2 linked regions of the Ovis aries genome follow. The protein of the gene in region 1 binds, or shares a complex with, the protein of each later gene. Links are inferred from orthologs where the notes say so. Each region holds a gene or a part of one and is shown on either strand. Other genes may lie near its edges. The genes, in order: ACTL7A and TES.

Region 1 (11,002 bases):
TGTGTATATACACACATGTGCATACATCTGAGGGATTCTCTCTAATTGAAAAGGATGTTTTTAGAAGTAAATAAAACTGACAGTTCTTAGTAATTGCAGGTGACTATAAGTTTGGAAGGGCTTCCCTGATAACTCAGTTGGTAAAGAATCCATCTGCAATGCAGGAGACTGGTGCGATTCCTGGGTCTGGAAGATCTGCTGGAGAAGGGATAGGCTACCCACTCCAGTATTCTTGGGCTTCCCTTGTGCCTCAGCTGGTAAAGAATCCGCCTGCAATGTGAGAGTCCTGGGTTTGATCCCTGGGTTGGGAAGATTCCCTGGAGAAGGGAAAGTCTGCCCACTCCAGTGTTCTGGCCTGGGACTGTATGTCCACGGGGGTCTCAGAGTTGGACACAACTGAGCGACTTTCATACACGCAAGTTTGGAAAGCAAAATTAGCTTTCTTCCTCCTCCTGTGGCTGCCTGTAATCTTCTGTGCTTCACTAGAAGCACTACTTGGACAAGTCCTTGGGAGCCTTTGGTTGCCCTTCCTTGTCGGTCACATAGTAACTGGGGGAGGATGACCATTTTAGGAACTAGGTCACCCTAAATGTCTGAGATTTGTACACGAGCCACAGTTAAGGCGATGATGCTTGCAGCCCTGAAGGCCTGCTCTCAATTCCTGCGCTCTCTGTGCTCCCTCAGCCCTTACCTGTGCTTCATGCCTGCTCTTCCTCCAGTACTCTTACTGGCTTTGAAGTCCCAGGAACTTCAAGACCAACAGATGTCCTGATATTTGGAAAGAACAAAGTCATGGTCACTCATCTTAGTGTCTTTGGACACAGTCATTTAACTCACTGAGTCTTTTCTGCGGCCTGTGTGTCCACTGGGCTAACCAGGGTTTCTCAGCATTGTTGATTTGTTGTTCAGTCACCAAGTCATGTCCAACTCTTTGTGACCCCATGGACTGCGGCATGCCAGGTTTCCCTGTCCTTCACTATCTCCCAGAGTTTGCTCAAACTCATGTCCATTTAGTTGATGCCATCCAGCCCTCTTACCCTCTGTGGCCCACTTCTCATCCTGCCCTCAATCTTTCCCAGCATCAGGGTCTTTACCAGTGAGTTAGCTCTTTGCGTCAGGTGGCCAAGTATTGGAGCTTCAGCTCCAGCATCAGTCTTTCCAGTGGGTATTCAGGGTTGATTTCCTTTAGGATTGACTGACTTGATTGTGCTGTCTGTCCAAGGGACTCTCAAGAGCACTGTTGATATTTTGGATTATATCATGCTGTGTTGTAGGGGGCTACCCTGTACATTACAGAATATTGAGCAATAGCCCCGGCCTCTAAGATCATGGCATCTGGTCCCATCCATTCATGGCAAAAAGATGGGGAAACAGTGGCTGACTTTATTTTTCTGGGTTCCAAAATCACTGCAGATGGTGATTGCAGCCATGAAATTAAAAGACGCTTACTCCTTGGAAGGAAAGTTATGACCAACCTAGACAGCATATTAAAAAGCTGAGACATTACTTTGCCAACAAAGGTCCGTCTAGTCAAGGCTATAGTTTTTCCAGTGGTTATGTATGGATGTGAGAGTTGGACTATAAAGAAAGCTGAGCACAGAAGAATCAGTGCTTTTGAACTGTGGTGTTGGAGAAGACTTGAGAGTCCCATGGACTGCAAGGAGATCCAACCAGGCCATCCTAAAGGAAATCAGTCCTGGGTGTTCATTGGAAGGACTGATGCTGAAGCTGAAACTCCAATACTTTGGCCACCTGATGCGAAGAGCTGACTCATTTGAAAGGACCCTGATTCTGGGAAAGATTGAGGGCAGGAGGAGAAGGGGACGACAGAGGATGAGATGGTTGGATGGCATCACCAACTCAATGGACATGGGTTTGGGTGAACTCCAGGAGTTGGTGATGGACAGAGAGGCCTGGTGTGATGCAGTTCATGGAGTGGCAAAGATTCAGACACAACTGAGCAACTGAACTGAACTACCCATCAGGTGTCAGTATGACATACCCCCTCCTCCTCTTACGATAACCACAAATATCTCTCAGCTCAGTTCAGTTGCTCAGTTGTGTCCGACTCTGCGACCTCATGAATCACAGCACGCCAGGCCTCCCTGTCCATCACCAACTCTCGGAGTTCACTCAAACTCATGTCCATTGAGTCAGTGATGCCATCCAGCTATCACATCCTCTGTCATCCCCTTCTGCCCCCAATCCCTCCCAGCATCAGGGTCTTTTCCAGTGAGTCAGCTCTTTGCATCAGGTGGCCAGAGTATTGGAGTTTCAGCTTTAGCATCAGTCCTTCCAATGAACACCCAGGATTGATCTCCTTTAGGATGGCCTGGTTGGATCTCCTTGCAGTCCAAGGGACTTTCAAGAGTCTTCTCCAACACCACAGTTCAAAAGCATTGATTCTTCGGCGCTCAGCTTTCTTTATAGTCCAACTCTCACATCCATACATGACCACTGGAAAAACTATAGCCTTGACTAGACGGACCTTTGTTGGCAAAGTAATGTCTCTGCTTTTCAATATACTATCTAGGTTGGTCATAACTTTCCTTCCAAGGAGTGTCTTTTAATTTCATGGCTGCAATCACCATCTGCAGTGATTTTGGAGCCCAAAAAATTAAAGTCTGACACTGTTTCCACTATTTCCTCATCTATTTGCCATGAAGTGATGGGACCGGATGCCATGATCTTCATTTTCTGAATGTTGAGCTTTAAGCCAACTTTTTCACTCTCCTCTTTCACTTTCATCAAGAGGCTTTTGAGTTCCTCTTCACTTTCTGCCATAAGGGTGGTGTCATCTGCATATCTGAGGTTATTGATATTTCTCCCAGCAATCTTTGATTCCAGCTTGTGCTTCTTCCAGCTCAACCTTTCTCATGATGTGCTCTGCATAGAAGTTAAATAAGCAGGGTGACAATATACAGCCTTGACGTACTCCTTTTCCTATTTGGAACCAGTCTGTTGTTCCATGTCCAGTTCTACCTGTTGCTTCCTGACCTGCATATAGGTTTCCCAAGAGGCAGGTCAGGTGGTCCGGTATTCCCATCTCTTTCAGAATTTTCCACAGTTTATTGTGATCCACACAGTCAAAGGCTTTGGCATAGTCAATAAAGCAGAAATAGATGTTTTTTCTGGAACTCTCTTGCTTTTTTGACATTACCAAATGTCTCTCGGTAGTCAAAACTGTTCCAGTTGGGAGCCAATGGGCTAAGATGGCTTCAAATATTTACTAAAAACTTTTCATCTTTTTTTCTGTATGAGGAAGATGCTTTTTTTCTGCAAGGGCTACTAATATGGAACCAGTGAGAGAATTCATAAAAGTGCTTTGAAAAGAGATTATACAGTTGTTCAGCCTTATATTGGCATTTTTCATTTTAAAATGGCAGTATGGCATTTATTCCTAGGATGGCCTAGGAGTTCCCATTCTCTAGAATCATCTCCCATTGCCTCCACTTCATCAAGACCCTCTTCACCTTTTGGGGGTTCTTGATTGGGGGGTTCATAGACCCTTAGGAATCTGGAGATAGTGTATTTCTATAATCCTATGTATTTTATTTGATGTGTTTAAAGAATATTATTCTGAGGGGTCCATAGGCTTTAACCACTCTGTCAAAGAGGTTCAAAGGTTAAGAATTAACCAGACTTCAACCTTCCCATCAATGAATGTTCTTCGAGTGTTGACAGTAGTGGTTTGGGCAGAAACAGGTAAACAAGGCAGACCTCTCTCAAGTCAGTGTACCCAACTCCTATCTGATGCCCTGATCCTCCAGGGTAAGGCTTATCCTTGCTGACTAAGCCCTTCTGTGGCTATTTTTGCTTCTTTCCTCTAGCTTGCTGGTGCCAGCCATCTGTGCTTACTCACCAGGCCTCCAGCGTGAGGCATTTGTGTCTTTCAAGGCTGTCTGTAAGGCAAACCTGGAGGTTATAAGGATGGCTCTGTAGGGTTTCTCCCTGAGCCTGGTAGAGATGCCATAGCTCTCCTATGCGTGCTTGAATGTGTGCGCCTTTGGGTGTATGTGTGGCTCAGGATCCTAGTAAGGCATTTGGGCTTCTGTATTTAAGCGGAAGAAACCTACATATCTAACAACTCTTAGGATCACCTCCTGGAGGCCACACACTAGTTTTCAAATGTTTATCTCTGATAGTTTCTTCAAAGCTAAACTTTATTTTTGTTGTTTTATATCTCATATGTATAATCAGCTGTGTGAGGTAGGCGTTTGAATTCAATTTTACAGGTGAATAGACTCAGGTCACAGGCTTCCTGGTAGCTCAGTGGTAAAAAATCTATCTGCCAATGCTGGAGTCATGGGTTTGATCCCTGGGTCAGGAAGATCTGGAGAAGGACATAGCAACTCACTTCCCTGGCAAATCCCATGGACAGAGGAGTCCGGTGAGCTACTTACAAACTGCCTGCAGGAATACCCCCTACCATGCTGGGCCCTGGAAGGGCTTCCAGGCCATGAGCGTCTTTATGTTCCTTCGGTTCCTCAGTTGGGTTAGAGTGACCAGAATGGAACAACCTCCCACAAACCCACAGCATCCACTGCAAACCGGCAGCCTTTATCCTGAGCCCATTCCAAACTCTGTATACCCTGCAGGTTGATGGAGAATCCAGTCCTGTCGGAGATGAGCAGCTGCTGTTTGAAGTGTCTGGAGATTGCCTGTGGGTTGCATCCTCATGACCTTAGTGCTGATAAACCAAGATAAATCTTCCCCCAGTTTTTAAAGGGGGAAATCTGTATAGCACCTATTCCCTGAAGAGTTTTTCCCTTAAGATAACACATACTTTGCTCATAACGCATGGGTTTCAGCAGCTAGTCACCGTGATGGCTTGGTAAGAACTGATATTGAGACATCATAAGTGACTACTGGGACTAAAAGAAAGTGCAATCAAAGCAGGTTGTCAGATATCTTCATCAGCTCTTCTGAGCCTTCAGAGATGCTGATCAAGTGTGAAAGGTGCCCTGCTCCTTTGTGGGAGATTGAACCATTACCGTGTACTTCCTGTTGCTGTTTATTGAAAGGGATATTCTTACATGCCATGACAGCATTTACTCTTAAATCTATCGCACTCCCAGAGTTTAGCAATACTATAGTACCTTATGTGGGGGATATACAAAATAAGGGACAGATGAGTAATTGTAGAGATAGTTTCTCCCCCAAATACTTCAGCAATCAACATAATGCATGTCTTTCTGGTCCATAATCATTCCCCCTTCCTTCCCTCCCCCCACCCCTACCCCCACTGCCCCTCTCCTTCGTCCAGCCCCCACCATTGTTTGGGCAAATGCATATTCTAAGGCAGATGCTTCATGCATGAAGTTCTCAGTGCATAAGGAAAGAGAAACACACTGTGGAAGGAAACATGAGGATTGTTTACTACTACAGAAGTGAACGGGCTGACTCTGTTCCCTGTGTGTGAGATGGGTGCTCACCCAGCAAAGCCGATGCATGTCACAGCGACCATACTGCCTTGGAGTTCAGAAGCACCTTCTGTAGAGGAAGAAAGGTCCATGTTCCTCGTACTCAGAGCGGTGGACCCACAGCGGTTGGAAGCCCTGAAGCGACGCCAGGATGGAGCCCCCAGTCCACACTGCCGTGTCTCTCTCAGGCAGCACGCTTACCTGGGGGGTGTCATTGGGACACATGCCGCTCAGTTCCTTCTGCAGACGGTTAGGGAACCCTCTGAGCATAGTGCTCCCCCCGCAGAGCAGGATGTTCCCCATGAGGTCTCGTTTGAGGGCGATGTCACACTTGTTGAGGCAGGACACCGTCTGGGTGTGGAGGCCTAGCTGCATGGACTTAATCAGAGAAGGCTTAAAGAACATCTCCGAGCAGAGGAACCTTTCCTGGCACAGGCAGATTGCCTGCCCATCTGGCAGGGTGTACTGGATCATATGCTGAGTAGCTGGGACTTTCTTCTCTTCAATGGGGTCCAGGGCCACAAAGCAGCATTTCTTCTTGATGTCCTCCACGATGTCCAGCTGGCCCTCGGTGAAGTGTTTCCCTGCAGTGTTCATCAGGCCCATCAAGTAGGTTGTCAGGTCAGAGCCCGCATAGTCCAGCCGTCCGGTGATGCTGGGCAGAGGGTAGCCCTCGTAGATGGGGACTACGTAGGACACGCCGTGGCCGACCTCCACCACCAGGCCGGAGGTCCTGCCGTAGGAGTACATGGACAGGCGGGACTGGTAGGCGATGTGCATCGCGGGTGTTCTGAAGGTCTCAAACAGCATCTCGGCATACTTCTCCCTGTTGGTGTGTGGGCTCAGGGGTGGATCTGAAACCAAGACCGCGTGCTCCTCTGGGGCAATCTTCATTTCTTGATGGAAGAGATATTCCCAGATATCCTGCACTGTATCCCAGTCCACAATAATGCCGTGTCGCAGAGGGTTAACCAGCTTGAGACGAACCTCTGGGTTGATAAGCTCGTGCCCCACGAATGTCTCCTTGCGATTGTCGCCAGTTTTGGCAGTCTCCATGTAGGGTTTGCCCACTGTGGTTGAGATCCTGTGGGTGGGCTTTGGCAGCCCGGCAAAGCCACATTTACAGTAGCCTGTGCCAAGGTCCACGACCACGGCTTTGGTCAGCTCTAGCTTGGGCTTCTTGACCTCAGGTGATGTTGTAGTTTCTGGCTCTGAATGGTTCCGGCGCACCCACACTGCCCGCTTGGCTGGGCCATCCTTCAAGGAGGCGGTCTGGAGGACCTGTGTGTGTGGGGAGCCCTGCTCACCTACTCTCTCGGACGGCCCATCCCCTATGACTGCTGCCTGTGGTGCCCACATGCTCTCAAGAGCCATCTTGCTCTCAGAAAGTTCCTCAATCCCACCGGCCTCAAGGCCTGAAAGACTGAAATAAGAGGGCAACTTGAGAATTTCTCCAGTGGTGACATCACTGATTATGACATAATCGAGTGTCCCAGGGCTTTCTAGTTACTGGGAACCTTTGTCTTGTGTTAGGGTATATTTGAGATAGAGTTTTTGAAGTGATTTCCTTTTTTCTAAATTTTGTAATAAACCTGGCTTATCCAATCAGTATTCTTGCCTCGCTATGTGCAAGGCAGGCAGCAGTGAGGGGAACAAAAGGACAAAAATCTCTGCCCTCAGAGAACTTATATTCTAGTCAGTGGGGGTTGGGGGAGAGACAGACAATAACCAAAATAAATATATGGGGGGGTGGTTAGTCACTCAGTCATGTCCAACTCTTTGGACCCTGTGGATTGTAGCCCTTCAGGCTCCTCTGCCCATGGAATTCTACAGGCAAGAATACTGGAGTTGGTTGCATTTCCTCTAAAGATGTTCAGAGATTGAACCTGGATCTCTTGCATTGCAGGCAGATTCTCTCTTCACAGGCCATTGCTAGGACTTTGGCTCTAACTCTGCATGAGGTCAGAAAGCACTAGAGAATTTTGAGCAAAGACATGATACCATCTGACTTAGGACCAGTTGCTGCTATGGCAACTCTGCCAAGCACTTACAAAAGGTAATATATTCACAGATTCCAGGGATTCAGATGAGGACATCTTGCGGGGGGGTGGGCAGGTCATTATTCATCCTGTGCCACTTGACCTGTAAGACACTCAAAGCCTGGCATGCTCGGTTTTACAAGCTCCTCCCCCATTGCCCATGCTTGCCGTCCTTAGCCCTTCGTGTCATCAGTTAAATCCAAGCCCTTACCTCTAGCATTTGAGGTCCCCCCAACCCCTGATGGCTCAGCGGGTAAAGAAGCTACCTGTAATACAGGAGCCTCCAGAGATGTGGGTTCGATCCCTGGACCAGGAAGATCCCCTGGAGTAGCAAACAGCGATTCACTCCAGTATCCTTGCCTGAAAAATCCCTTGGACAAAGGAGCCTGGCGAGCTACAGTCCAGAGGGTTGCAGAAAGTGGAACATGACCGAGCACACGCACCTAGTTGCCTCCACGACCTTATCCTCATCTATTTTTCCAAACACTAACTATTGGAAACTGCACCATGCTTCCCTCAGAGCCTCTGCTCAGGCTACGCTCCCTGCCTGGGATGCCTGTCCCTCCTCTAAGCTACCGAACAGGCACCCACTTACCTTTCAGTACTCGATGTGGGCACCCCCTCTCTGCAGAACCTTCTGACTCCCTCCCTCTGTGCTCCTGTGTCCTCCTAACAGACGTCCACCTGCAAACTCCTCTGCATCCATTCATCTTCCCGACTAGATTGGGCACTGCTTGTGGCCGGGTTGCTATCATTAGAGCTCTCAAATGCTTTAAGGAGACCTGGTACACTGAAGTTGGAGGAACTTGGGTTATAGCACGCTCCAAGAGCTGTTTGCTCTAGGGCAAGTCATTTGCATTCTGAACCTTGATTTCCTCAGCTCTGCCTATCTCCCAGGATTCTGTGAAGTGTCATGTGAGATGCCTGCTACAGTGCTTGGCTCACCGGGCTGTGTGTGTGCTGTGCTAAGTCGCTTCAGTCACGTTCAACTCTTTGCAACCCTATGGACCGTAGCCTGCCAGGCTCCTCTGTCCATGGGATTCTCCAGGCAAGAATACCGGAGTGGGTTGCCATGCCCTCCTCCAGGGTATCTTCCTGACCCAGGGGTTGAACCTGTGTCGCATACATCTGCATTGGCACTACATCCAGTAGTGGGTTCTTTACCACTAGCATCACCCGGGGGAGCCTTTGGCTCACTGCTGCTGCTAAGTCACTTCAGTCGTGTCCGACTCTGTGCGACCTCTCAGCAGCCCACCAGGTTCCCCCATCCCTGGGATTCTCCAGGCAAGAACACTGGAGTGGGTTGCCATTTCCTTCTCCAGTGCATGAAAGTGAAAAGTGAAAGTGAAGTCGTTCAGTCGTGTTCGACTCTTAGCGACCCCATGGACTGCAGCCTACCTTATCACCCTTTCATCAAGCTGAGAAGCAAGAGGTGATCAGCTAGTGGATGGGGGATTAGGAATAAGGATATAAGGTGAGAAAGAGCAGAAACCTCTGAGATGCAAGTGTGCTTGGATTTCTAAAACTGTGCTGGCCACCTGTTCTGTCCTGAAGCAAAGTTGAGTTAGGCCAATGGGGTTGGGGGGGAGGATAGATCAAGGGCCTGCCCAGACCAAGCCCCCCCGCTACAACTGCCAGAATGGACCAGCCCATGTGACATCACAATTCCAAGGGGTTGCCAAGTCACTGCTAGAAACAGACCCTCATTTCTCCCCAGGGAGCTCTAGGATGTGGATGTGAGACAGGTGAGCAAGGAAGGCAGATGGCGACAAGGAACAGCCCTAGCCCCAAGCCGATGGGCACGGCCCAGGGGGACCCAGGAGAGGCAGGCACACTGCCAGGTCCTGATGCTGGCATCCTGGACAAAAGTTCGGCCACTCCGCTGAAGATGAAGCCCAAGAAGGTGCGCAAGATCAAGGCGCTTATCATTGACCTGGGCTCCCAGTACTGTAAGTGTGGCTACGCAGGTGAACCGAGGCCCACCTACTTCATCTCTTCCACGGTGGGCAAGCGCTACTCAGAGGCGGCCGATTCCGGTGACACCCGCAAGGATACCTACGTGGGCCATGAGCTGCTCAACATGGAGGCGCCTCTGAAGCTGATCAACCCGCTCAAATATGGCATCGTGGTGGACTGGGACTGCATCCAGAGCATCTGGGAGTACATCTTCCACACGGCCATGAAGATCCTCCCCGAGGAGCACGCTGTGCTGGTCTCTGACACCCCGCTCAGCCCCACGAGCAACCGGGAGAAGTATGCAGAGCTGCTGTTCGAGACCTTCGGCATCCCTGCCATGCACGTGACATCCCAGTCACTGCTGTCCATCTACTCCTATGGCAAGACCTCTGGGCTGGTGGTGGAGAGTGGGCATGGTGTCTCACATGTGGTGCCCATCTCTGAGGGCGACGTGCTGCCCGGCCTGAGCAGTCGAGCTGATTACGCGGGCAGCGACCTCACCAACTACCTGCTGCAGCTGCTCAACGAGGCCGGCCACAAGTTCACTGACGACCACCTGCACATCATCGAGCACATCAAGAAGAAGTGCTGCTACTCGGCCCTCAAGCCCGAGGAGGAGCTCGGCCTGTGCCTGGAGGATCTGCGCGTGGACTACGAGCTCCCAGATGGCAAGCTCATCACCATCGGCCAGGAGCGCTTCCAGTGCGCCGAGATGCTCTTCAAGCCCACCCTGGTAGGCAGCAACCAGCCCGGCCTCCCCGCACTCACCGCTGCCTGCCTGAACCGCTGCCAGGAGGCGGGCTTCAAGGAGGAGATGGCTGCCAACGTGCTGCTGTGCGGCGGCTGCACCATGCTGGATGGCTTCCCCGAGCGCTTCCAGAGGGAGCTGAGCCTCCTCTGCCCCGGAGACAGCCCTGCAGTGGCCGCGGCTCCCGAGAGGAAGACCTCCGTGTGGACCGGCGGCTCCATCCTGGCCTCCCTGCAGGCCTTCCAGCAGCTCTGGGTCAGCAAGGAAGAGTTTGAGGAGCGGGGCAGTGCGGCCATCTACAGCAAGTGCTGAGCAGCAGGGTCCCCACCAGCCAGGTCTGGGGGCAGGCAGCCACAGGCCACTCTATACACATTTTCAGAATTTCACATAAAATTTTACAGTGCAGTGGCTCCTGTCTGGTCTGGATTTCTTGCTCTAGGCTGATAGCAGAAGGTGGGGAGGGGGATTTGGGCTTTCAGTCTGTATCTGTTGGGTTGGGAGAAGCAGGCACGAGGGGAGGCTCACCGGCCCCTCCCCTTCTGCCCTGTTCCTGAGGATGACATCATCATAGAGCCCAGAATGTGGCTTCTTGTTCCATTAGCTGTTCAGGGTTCAAAGCCCAATCCAACCAACACTCATATTGCTTGCTCACCCATAGACCAAGGGGGGAACAAAGGCTCAAATTAAGGGACTGGCTTGGGTTACAAAGTTATGTCGTGAGTGGGACACTCAAACTAGGTGTCTCCTGTCTTTGACCCTGATGGTCGCCTGCCCACAGCTTTATCACTGCTTGACTGCCTCACTAACCATCTGCCGCACCCCCCTCCCTACCCTGC
Region 2 (12,004 bases), on another chromosome or scaffold:
TCTCAGTCCTCCAAAAAGCTGCTCTTATGGTAGCACAGCTTTCCAGAAGGAAATCCTCAATCAATGCCTTTTTAGAATTCATTTTAAGGAACAATGGATAAGGAAGTGTTTTCCAGAAGTAATAATCCAGTGCCTCTAAAGTAGAAGACAAAGGAACTAACGCCACTGACGGTAAATTTAGTGCTTATATTCTCAATTCTGCAAGATATATTGTTGAGTGTGGAAGAAAGGCCACTGATTGCTTCTGCTTTTTCCTAGTAACAGTTTTACTGTGACTATGTTGCTTTTGTTCTCCCACTGTAATGGGTTATATTATGTCCCCTCCCCCCCAAAAAAAATTCATATCCACCCAGAACCTCAGAATATAACCTTATTTGGAAATAGAGTTTTTAATAGACATAATTAGTTAAGATGAAGTCATATCAGATGTGCATGTTAAGTTGCTTCAGTTGTGGCCAACTTTTTGCCATCTTATGGACTATAGCCCACCAGGCTCCTCTGCTTATGGGATTTTCCAGGAAAGAATACTGGAGTGAGTTGCCATGCCCTCCTCCAGGGGGATTTTCCTGACCCAGGGATCAAACCCACGTCTCTTAAGCCTCCTGCATTGGCAGGTGGGTTCTTACCACTAGTGCCACCTGGGAAACCCCATACCTCATTAGGGTTGGCCTTAAATCCAACGACTGGTGTCTTCATGAGAGAGAGGTGAGAGATTTAAACAGAGGTACAGAGAAAACAGCCAAGTGAAGATTCTTCAGGAAGGGCTCATGAGAACTGTATTTCCTAAATTCTATGTTTATGAAAGTCTTCGCCCTTTAACTTGGAAGTTACTTCATATAAAATCCTTGGTTTACATTGTCTTTCTTGAATAGCTTAAAATGTTACTCTATCCTCTTCTGATCTAGAGAATTGCTAAAGCAAAAGTGCAATGTTAATACAATTGTCTTCCCCTTTTAAGTCACATCCCTTCCTAAAGCTGAATACCCAAAGGATTTTCTTTCCTATTCTTCAAAGTCCAGTAACTTTACTAGATATGTCTTGTGTTGGTTATTTTGAGTCAATATATTCTCAGGTAAGCAATATGATCTTTCAATATCTAGTTCCATATCATTTTTTTAATTTCAGAAAGTTTTCTTGAGTCACCATTTTTCAGTGTTTGTTCCTTTGGTTTCCATCTTCAGAGACTTATATCATCCACGTACTTGATCTCATCATCTTTTTAATATTTGCTACTTTCTCTGGAATACTTTATATTTGTCATTACTTTTTAAAATTTTTATTTATTTTTAATTGAAGGATACTTGCTTTACAATATTGTTTTGGTTTTTCCCACACATCAGCATGAATCAGCCATAGGTAAACATATGTCATTACTTTTCAATTTTTTAGAAAGAAGAATTTTTACTATCCATTGTTTGTAGGCATTATTAGTTTTTTGCCATAGTATTCTTTTTAGTTTAGCCTTCATCTATGTAATATTATTTTCTTCATTTCTAATTCTTTCCTGAATTCTATTACCTCAGTTATGAGTTTTTCTAATTCTAATTTGTGTGATCCTTTTATGACATGCATTAACTTTTTGATGTCTTTAATTTGTTTTCAAATAATACACTTTTGCTCTGTTTTGTGGACACATCTTTCTGATGTACTGTAGGGAAGTTATTCTGCTCTGTTTGCTCTCTTTTCTCATGTGTGTACTGGATTTGACCTTAATAAATTACTGTTACCCATTATTATGTGACAATAATTTTCCTAAACTTATACAGTGATGCAGAGTTTAGAAAATTGTGTCCAACTTCAGAGAGCTCCCTTGTTTTTATGAAGCGCTAACAAATACAACAAGATTTTGGAGATTTCCTGACTCCATTTCCTTTTCTGGCTGTTGAGCACTTGAAATATGGCTAGTATGACTGAGAAGTCAAATTTTAAGTTTTAATGGATTTTAGTTAACCTAATTAATTAAATTTTAAATAACTACATGTGGTTACTGGCTACTACATTGGAGAGAGCTCCTCTAGCCTTTCACTTTCCACTGTCTCTTCTGCCCCAACCTACTTATTCTGATTTCCCTTGACAAAGTTTCTTATTGTGGGACCCTCTCCTAGAAAGAAGTCCTAGTGGGTGAGTCATGAGATATCACAGGGTGAGATTAATTCAGCCCCTTCAGTCACATTTCACTGTTTCCACTGCTGTTTGAAATTTGGCCTGCAGTGTTTTAAAATGGATATCTGGAGGAGAACATCTTGAATTTTCCTGGTGTCCATCAGACACCAACTTATTGCTTCTCTCCCTCCCCGACAGAATTTTTTATACATGCATGTCTTGTGGCTCTTGTTGGCTTGTCCTTATCTGTCATGTTTTTGGATTTATGGAGATACCTTGCCAGTTTTATTATGAAGGCTGTCCATGGCTTTTGGTTTTGCTAACCAGTTGATCAGTTTTTTGTTTTAATGTAGATTTTTCAGGCAGATTGAAAAATTATACTGCCACTGCCCCACCTTCCTAAAATGCTTTGAATAATATATTTTTAGATAAGGTTTTTCCATTAAGAAATATGCCATGATCATGGAATATTTTTTAAAGGAAAGAAGGAATCCCCATGGACCTATCAATCAGAGACAAACCACTGCTAACATTTTATGAATTTTCCTCATGTTTCTTCTCTGTGCATGATATTTTTGCACAGTTGTGAGCATAATCTATATACCATTCTATTTTCTATTTTGTTCCTATAACATTATGATTGTTTACTGTTAGAAAAAATTAATATAAACTTTTCATGTGAATCATTCATTATTTCCCTAGCCAAACACCAGTGTTTGGTCAACTAAAAAAATTTTTTACAGGTAATAATTTGCTCTGAAAAAATGTTTGTCTCCCCATAGAACAATGTGTAATCCATACAATCTGCTAATGAGCAATAATAGCTAAGTCAGTAGCATAGGAGTTCCTCTAACTGGTGTTAATAAATTATGAACATTTGCTAAAGAGGCCACCTGGGGCTACATTAATAATTGAGGAGACAGGTACAGTCATCTTTATCTTGGAAATTTACCTTACCTGGTGTAGAAAACTTTCCTATTGGTGTTTTCTTTTCCTAATGTTTTGGTATGTTGAGTGTGTGTGTGTTTATATGTACATGTGTATATGTAGATGTTTGTGCCTGTGTATTTATAACCAGTCATCTGCATCTCCATCCCAGATGTCTCTTTTGACTGCCAAACTCAGATCCAATCAGCCTTGCAAAATCATTACATGCAAGTGAAACTCATCTTAAGGTGGGAAAGGAGAGATTTACAGCCACCGTACAAATCACCAAATTAGATTCCTAAGAGTGACTCTTAGGAATGCTCATCCCTCCTCCCTTCGAGTCAATCACTCAATTCCAACATTTTCTACTGCCTTAAAATCATTGGTTATTCCTTTAACTCTCTATGTTGCTGCCTCAGTTTGTCCCATAGCCTATTTGACATGGGATACAGCTTTTACTCCCCAAGTTTACTTTCTGTTAAATTCAATGAGAATTTGACCCTTTTCTATAGCTGGACATTGTTGATGAATTCCTTCTTGAATTTCTTCTCTTAAGAGGTTGTTGGGAACTCTAATTTTTTTTTTTTTTTTTACTAACTAACCTTTATTTCCGTTCTGTGCTTTTCTTGCTCAACTGTGCTCAATTGAGGTCATTGATATTCTCTCTTATTTTGTTATATTCCATGCTGATCTTTTCCATCCATGGCTTTCAATTATTTATCTATGTAAGATATTGACACTTAAATCACCATTCCACTCCAGTTCTCATCTCTAAGATTAATATGTGGATACTTCAGTATCCCAGCCTCAAATCTAATGACTGTACCCTTTGTCCTCATCCCACTCCCAGGAAAACACAACTAAACACAACCTATATTTTCCTTTTTCCAGAACCACCTACAAAAATGAGCAAGCCAGCAACATGTGTATTATCTTCTACTCATTTTTCTGTCATCAATTACATCTTGTCATCGAACAATGCCAGTTCTAATTCCTTAGTATCTCTTTAGCATAACACTTGAACAGCTAATAAGAAATTGGAGTCTAATCCTCCTAAACTAAAACTTATCTACCTCAATGTTAATTTGTATATAATTGGCACAGTAATGTTTCCAGGTAGATAAAAATTTCAATTAGCAAATGATACACAAAGTGATGCTAGAAGGTTTGGGAGGAAAGAGAGAGAGAAGGGCAAAATACAATGCTAAAAAATGTTTCCAGATATTTTCTCTAGTGTTTGTCTCTCAAATTTCACAAAATAAGCCCAAAATTTATGTTACAACATCATTTGATTCCTTATTTAAACTGTTTCACTGGACATTTTCCATCTGTTAAGCTCCCTGAAAGAGACCAAATTGCCTTGTCATAACTAAACCTCATGTTCATTGGAGTTTACATTGGGTAAACTTTGCAGGAGCCCAAACATTGTAGCATGGTTTGGGAAAATGGCTTGGAAAAGTTTTAATTAAACTGAGTGAGAAGAAAAATTCATGACCATCTTGGTCATTTCATTTTTAGTTTATTAATAGAATAAGAAAAACATCACATCATAAATCAGTGCTCTGTTTGTTACTGAACTGAATTTGGGTCTGCTCATCCAATATGAGACAAAGCTAAGCTACTGACACCAGGTTGTGGTGAAGCAAACTGTAGTGTTTATTGTGAAGGCATCAAGCAAGGAGGACAAGCAACTAAAGCTCAAAACACTAAAACTCCCCAGTGGTTTTTACGGGAGGATTTTTAAAGGCAGCATTTGGGGTATGGGTTGTAGGGTGCCTGACCAGCTTGTGCACAATTCTCTGACTTGTCGGTGATGAAGTAACAGCACACAATTTCAGGAATCCCAATCATCAACCTTCTTAATTCCAACCAGTCTGGGGCCTACATGTTGGTGGTTCATCTGGTTGGAGTGGGGCCTGGTTTCTATAAAACCAGTACAAGGATATGGCTCAGGATACTATCTATAGCACTGAAGGAAGAAGCTAAAGGCCCTTGGCTTTACTTTACAGCCAAACTATTATTATTTAGTTTCATTTGACTGTTTTCCTTTGTTTTTGCAATTTCTCATTTAACTGATTAAATTTGCTTTTGGGAACTTGGGAAAAGCGTAGGAAGTTAATGTTCTTCTGCAAACAAAAGGCAGGGGACACCAGGGGTCTGTCCAGGGGAAGATCCTAAGGGTTGAAAACGTTAGCTAAAATGATTTTGGGTTTTTTAAGTTATCATATTTCAAAAGGTAAAGGGGAGAGAGGGCTTCCCTTGTAGCTCAGTTGGTAAAGAATCTGCCTGCAGTGCAGAAAACCTGGGTTCGATTCCTGGGTCAAGAAGATCCTCTGGAGAAAGAAATGGCAACCCCCTCCAGTATTCTTGCCTGGAGAATCCCATGGACAGAGGAGCCTGGCAGGCTACATACAGTCCATGGGGTTGCAAGAATCAGGCATGACAGAGAGACTAAACCACCACCACCACCACCACCACCACCAAAGGGGAGAGAAATGTGGACCTAAATAGCTATATGATTTGGGACTTTTTCCCTTTTAAAAGTAGATGCAGATTAGGTGGTCACTTGCTATCTAATCATTATAATTTTCTATCATTACCATGAACAGAGGAAAAAAAGTCAAAAGGTTGTTTTTTTCCATCTGGAACAAGCTGAAGACACTGCTTAAAGACTCATGAGCTTTAGCTCTGTCCCCAAGAGACTAATAAATTGGGCAGGTCCCTATACTTCTGGGGTCCTCAGTTCCCTGCAAAATGAGAAAGTTATACTCAATAATCCCTAGATTTCCTTTCAGGTCCACCAAGGCAATAGTATTCATTGCCATTGCTCCTGAACGAGGCCATAATATGGATCCAAATCTAGAGCTGCAGCGCTGCTTGTTATGCCTATGATACTGCTTCATCTAAGCATGAGGCACATGAGCAGCCTCACATCATTTCACACAACAGGGGCAAAGGACAAGCCTCTCCTTCCAAAGGAATGGTGTAAGTTATCCCTTTACTGGTTCACACTATCCTCATTTTTGAACTATCAAATGCTCAGAAAACCCATATAACCCTCTTCATTGGCTGTCTGAGATAAGGTTTCCAGCCAGTGCTTGGGATATTGGAGAAAAGTATTTAGCCAAGTGCCTTTTCCACAACTCAACAGTGAAATTATAGAGTGCATTTCCATCACGAAGATCCCTAACAATCCCCACAACTTCTCTTTTTCTTCGCTCTGAATTCATATTTAAAGTCCCAAGGAAAACAGGTTCAAGCTGACTGAATGGAAAAGGCTCTTCCTCATTTCAGCTGGAGGCAGCTTGGGCTCCAATTCTTTGGGAGCAGGTAGTCAGGACGCCCAGCGGAGCCTCAGAGATCAACTCCGGGCTACAGGATTGAGCTCCGCAGGGTACCGCCCCGAACGCGGCCCCGCCCCTCACCTTGCTGGCGCCGCGCTCGGCAGCGAAGGTGCGTGCGGCGCTCAGTGATTGGCGGCTGCCTGGAGGGGCCCGGCTGCCATTGGCTGCTTGGGCCTCTTTGTTCCCGGTCCCCGCCGCAGGCCGGCTGCAGCCGACTGGGCAGCGGAAGTTTGACCGTGCCGGGCAAGTGGCTGCGGCGGTGGCGCCGGTGTCCCGGTACATCTCCTCCAGTACCGGCAACGGTGCCAGACGCCCGGCGATCCTGGGCGTGATATCCCCGACAGGAGGAGAAACCCCCTCTGACACATAGACATGGACCTGGAGGCCAAAGTAAAGAAGGTAGGGTGGCTGGCAGCAGCCGCTTCACCTGCGCGGGGCGCCGCCCCCTGGCTGCCAGTGGCTGGTGGGGCGCAAGGGCCGTCAGGCACGAGCGGTGTCGGGATCGCCGGCGCCCGGGGCCCCAGTACCCGGTCCTTCGGGTAGAGGGGGTGTCCGCTGGCCCTACTAACTCCTGAAACCCAGGAGCGACTGAGAGTCGCGCGCGAGGGCGGGCGCGGGACATTTCTCCCTGTCTAACCAAGTCCAACGGTTGGAGGTGTTTGAAACTTTTCCTTAAGATGTTTTGGCAGGGCTTGTGCCTCCCAAGAAGAAAAGGATGAGCTTAGGGCGAGTTCGGGCGAAACCGTGACACTACTTCTTCCTGTCTCAGGAAGCTGAACTTTATTAAGCCTTTGTGGTTTGGGGTGACTGATGAGACTTTTGACAGCTCAGACCTCCTCCCTTCCCAGCTTGGCAGTCAAGAGGCTGTCTAGAGTGAGCGTTGATTTAATGTGCTTCCTTCGCAGCAGCGGCTGGTGATGGCGTGAAAGGTGAACTTTTTTTTTTTTTTTTTTTTGGTCTCTGGTCATTCATTACTTGACTTCCAAAGCACTGCCTTCGTCTTCCAAAGAAAATGTTCTCCTTCTTTGGCAACTAGTCCCAAAGGACGATTGTCAGCGGTGGTTTAGCTCCAGGAGACGTTTCCTGACTGGCTGCCCTCCGGGCGTCAGGACCCACGGCCCTACCTGAGCCGCTCCGTGATATTAGGAGACTCGCGTTTCCTGGGAGAAAAGGGTGGGACTAGACTGTGACTCAGAGGGAATGCTGATGTCACATTCCAGTGTAACGTTCTGTGTGAAAGGTCGTCTCATTCCAGGGAATTGATTAAGCTACTTGCTCCTTGGAGAAGGAAATGTTGCTCCTTATCAAATAAAGAAGGAAGTTCTGCTGAGAGTAAAGGAGGGGAAAGTAGAGAACCTAATTTTCTTCTCTTGCTCATTGTGGGTTATCAACATTGCCATTACTTTATCTTCTAAAGACAAGGTTTCTAACCTAAGCATTAGTTCTGTTTCATGCCCAGAGTTGGATTTTTGAAAATATATGCAAGTGCAAAATATTAGGTTAGGTTAGGAGGCTGTTGAAAAATAAAAAGCCTGCAGTGGGGAAAAAAAAAAAACATGTTTGCCCTTTGTGACTAGACTCAGCTTCCAAAAGGGAATTCATGAACAGGAAAACGTATTCTGAGAGTACAGTGATTGAATTCTATTGTCTTCTAGTTTGGTTTCTTATTCTTTTCTTTGCTTTTAGATGACACTTCACTTTCACTTTTCGCTCTCATGCATTGGAGAAGGAAATGGCAACCATTCCGGTGTTCTTGCCTGGAGAATCCCAGGGACAGAAGAGCCTGGTAGGCTGCCATCTCTGGGGTCGCACAGAGTCGGACACGACTGAAGCGACTTAGCAGCAGCAGCAGCAGCACATTTTTTGTTAATCTTGCTTGCTACTAGGAAAGCATTTTGTTTGCCCCTTAATTAGCCATCTGTTGATGAACGCTGCTTATTTTGTTTTTCATGTGGGAAACAGTGGGTAATTTAGTACTTGTCTAAAAATTTTTTGGGGGGATCTTGTCTATGCTTAAACATAGTGCTTCAGAAAAGACGTTTTAAATGCCCAGATCCTTTGGGAGAGAGGGATGAATGGGTGAAACCATTCTGTAAGCTACTGTAATTGTGAATACCTGTCATTATATATTTGTCAAAACCCACAGAATAAACACCAAGAGTGGACCCTAAAATAAACTGTGGACTTTGGGGGATGATGATGTGCCAGTGAAAGTTCATCAGTTATAGCAAATGTACCACTTTGATGTGGGATATTGATAATGGGGGTGGGGGTTGGTCTGAAAAGGGATAGGAGATATATGGGAATGCTGTATCTTCTGCTAAATTTTGCTGTGAACCTGACTGCTCCGGAAAAACAAAACAAAACAAAAATCCCCTCTATTTAAAAGGAGGGGAAAAAAAAAACAAGTAGCATTCAAAAGTGATTTTGAAATTATTTGAGACAAGAAGTAGTTCTGAGGGAGAAAGTCCAGAGTTAAGAATTATATGTGCTAGCAAGGGAAAAATCCAGACATTATTTATACAGTTTCCTTAGTTTCAGAATGTGGATTATCATAAATAATGGTCTTGATATATGGTGTAATTTTTCTCCTGCATCTTCCCTTTACTTTAAAAGGTTATCTTTTCAACCGAGAATCTTATCCTTCTCTCTCATCTTCCTCCTCCCCTCCCGCCGCCCCAAGAAAAAGGATTCCATAAATTTAAAACTTGTACAGACAATACCATGACAGTAACAAATCCTTGTTTCACTACCTTGTCATCACTGGTGATTCTCAGGGCAAAGTCCTCAACTAGTAAATTGGAAAGTAAAAGATCCCAAAGATGTCCAGTCTGATTGCCAACATACCTTCTCTGTGTCTAGGTAGGATCCTTGACAGATTAATGTTCTGTGCATTTGACAGAGTGTTTCCCAGTACAAAGAATTTAGAGGTCCCAGAAATACATTTCATAATTTCAAAAAGAAACTTGCATTCCCTTTAGAAATTGTTTTCTAACACATGAGAAGAAGGAAACATTACAAGATCATCTTTGATCTTATGAGCCTTCTTACCCTATTTTGGTATCTAGATACTTTTCAGGTCTCCCTTCTTTTTCACTTGGATATACAAGAAAACTGATAGTTTTACTATACCTTTTAAAAATCATAGCTGAAAGTTGAAATAAAGACACAGCCATTTAACTAAAACTAAATTTAACTTCTGTTTTAAGATGCATGGCATTTTTTTTCCTTTTAAAACCTTTTTACTGTTGTTTTCATAAGAAATATTCTCTAGGCAGATGACAAATGTTACTTTCCCATTAACATTTCATGTAAAAAGAATTAGAGGGTTATCTTTATTTCACATCCACCTAGGTGGATAATGTTATTATAAGATTTTTTGTTTTTAAGAGGAGAACTTGGGTGTCTATCATGGGCATAAATTTGGATTAATTACCAGTTAAAATACACCATCAGAAAGGCAAGGAATTTTTATAACTAGATTTTACTATATTGTATTTTGTTTGAGATAAGTGAGCTGTTGCTAGGAAGTAAGAGCTAGTTTGGTTATACAGAGTTTTGTTTTAATATTTTAGAGTAGAATTTGAGTTTTACATCTTCGCTCTTTCTTTGGAGTTTCTTGTCTAGATCTCTTCCTTATGTCTTGTGTTTCTTCATTATAATTAACTTCATGTAAGTAGAGCCTGTGTCTGCTTGGAAAACACAATGACCTTTGAGAAACAGAAACAGAGTCTCATTTTGTGATGAATGCTAAATCATGGCCCACAGCCAGCTATTTTCCTCTTTCCTTTCTGTGTTACTCTCCCCTGAGAAACACTTTTTTCCCTTTAAAAACATACCAGAGAGAAAGAGAACTATAGTAATTTCCCTTATGCTGCCTGGAATTGCTATAGAACTTTTAATTTTACACCTTATTCATTGTTTGCCTCCTTTCTAACCTCCATCTTTTGATCCTTCCTGATGTCTTGCGTATTTTTTCTGTAAGATCCTTTTCTTTGTTTCTTTCATTTTAAAAAGATGAGATTTTAAAGATTACACAGTCACTAAAACATCTCCTTTCTCAGCATCCAAACATGTTCTGAAAGCTTCTGTCATTTGCTGAAAAATCAGAGTGACACCGTGTGATTGCAGTTGGCAAGATAACTGCACCACGAAGACTGTCTCCGTTAGAAATTAGAATGAACCTTTTCTCTTAGGGTGGCCCCTGACTGAAGTGGAAAAGGCAAGTAAACGGTGACCTGGAGGTTCAGCTCTACAGTTGAATTCTCTGCTTGAAGCCGTTCTTGCTGAGAATCATTGGCAAGACTTAGGGTAATGAGAGGGCTTCCAGGGCTTTACCTTAGAGGCAGTTACTCTCTCAGAACAAGTACAGAATAAAGTGTTCCTCAGCAGGGCTTTTATCTCTTTTAAGCCATAGTGTGAGTCATTACATTAATTAGACATGAAAAGTCGCTTTTTCTAACTTGCTTTGAATATTGGTTTGAATAGAACGGTAGTAGATTTTCTGTTGATTTGTTCCTTAATCCTATCCTATGAAGTTGAATTAGGGGTTTATGTCTCTACTGGCTATCAAGCTGTGTACCATCACCTCTCTCCTTGACTTTGCTAGCTCACCTTCAATAATACTAAATATTACTAATCCAAGACACACTCCTCACCCTACTTGCCCCCCCTTTCCCCCCAACACACACATCACCCTCCAGGTAATCATTCTTCTTGTTACCAGCTAGATGGAAAATCTCTTTCTTCTATATTCCCAAAGCATGTTATTATAACTCTTAGCAAACTTTTTACTTTCTCCCTCTACATTATAGTCTTTCTCTTACTTGGATTGCAAGCTTCTTGAGGGAAATTCATATCCTATTTATACTTGTATAGTTATTTTGTTTTCTGTTCAAAGCAATTTATGAAGCAGACTAGCTTCATTTTAAGGATAAGAAAATTAAGGCTTAGATAGGTTGATCTGAAACTGGCAGAAAGTAACTATGATCTTGCACCATAGTCTTCATAATCCATGTGACTTCCATCACATCACCTAGCCTGAGTCCTCTGATACCCTTGCTCTGATCACTGCATATATGTTGAATGAAGTTCCCTAATAGAAAAAACCTAACATGCATTTCAACATTTTTATTTGTTTAAAGGAATTATATTGGGGAAATGGTTTCTATTCCAATAAAATTACTACTCTACTGGTTTTCTATAGTTTATACTTTACCCATGATCCGTATGCCTTTAGGGTAAGTTGCCTTTGACATTTTTTGCATGGAAACAAAGTCTAAATAAGTACAAATATCATGAAAAGTAACTTCTAGGAGATTTTACAGTCAAAGAAATTCCATAAGCTCCAATAATATTCTGAACTGTATCTTCTAGGTTTTGTTGGGAGCAGTGATAATGCTGCCTTCTAGCTACCTAATATGGTTCTGAACAATAGCAACCCTGCTTTTGGCTCTTTGTCTTTCAACTAGTGACATCTGGAATTGTATACAGGTACTCATGGTTGGCCTGTAGAAGAATCTGTTCTACCTGCTGAACCCCAGAGTTGATAGTAAGCCTTACACGTAACATGGTAGGCTAAACCTCTTTTTCTCCTAGCAACAAAATACTCTAAGTGCTGCTGGAATGGC

What was found.
Region 2: the proteins of ACTL7A (region 1) and TES are in contact, whole or in part, in a crystal structure (PDB 2XQN), measured with the Homo sapiens proteins. The link is inferred for Ovis aries from reciprocal best matches to the Homo sapiens genes ACTL7A and TES. Residues at the interface, in NP_006678.1 of Homo sapiens: Leu28, Gln29, Thr30, Ala31, Ser32, Leu33, Arg34, Asp35, Gly36, Pro37, Ala38, Lys39, Arg40, Ala41, Val42, Trp43, Val44, Arg45, His46; in NP_056456.1 of Homo sapiens: Asn311, Glu312, Tyr313, Thr314, Gln315, Ala316, Glu317, Leu323, Phe326, Leu335, Ala336, Gly337, Glu338, Ile339, Tyr340, Val341, Tyr353, Pro370, Glu371, Val372, Gln373, Arg374, Val375, Thr376, Tyr377, Ala384, Phe389, Leu398, Ile399, Gly400.

The regions. Positions count from the first base shown.
Region 1 is NC_056055.1:14,402,128-14,413,129, forward strand, and holds ACTL7A (actin-like protein 7A), read right to left. Parts: upstream 6,853-11,002; 5' UTR 6,798-6,852; coding exon 5,481-6,797; 3' UTR 5,362-5,480; downstream 1-5,361. Other genes in the region: ACTL7B (actin-like protein 7B), read left to right, coding at 9,225-10,478. UniProt on the Homo sapiens protein: Essential for normal spermatogenesis and male fertility. Required for normal sperm head morphology, acroplaxome formation, acrosome attachment, and acrosome granule stability.
Region 2 is NC_056057.1:53,710,875-53,722,878, reverse strand, and holds the start of TES (testin), read left to right. Parts: upstream 1-6,566; 5' UTR 6,567-6,746; coding exon 6,747-6,773; intron 6,774-12,004. UniProt on the Homo sapiens protein: Scaffold protein that may play a role in cell adhesion, cell spreading and in the reorganization of the actin cytoskeleton. Plays a role in the regulation of cell proliferation. May act as a tumor suppressor. Inhibits tumor cell growth.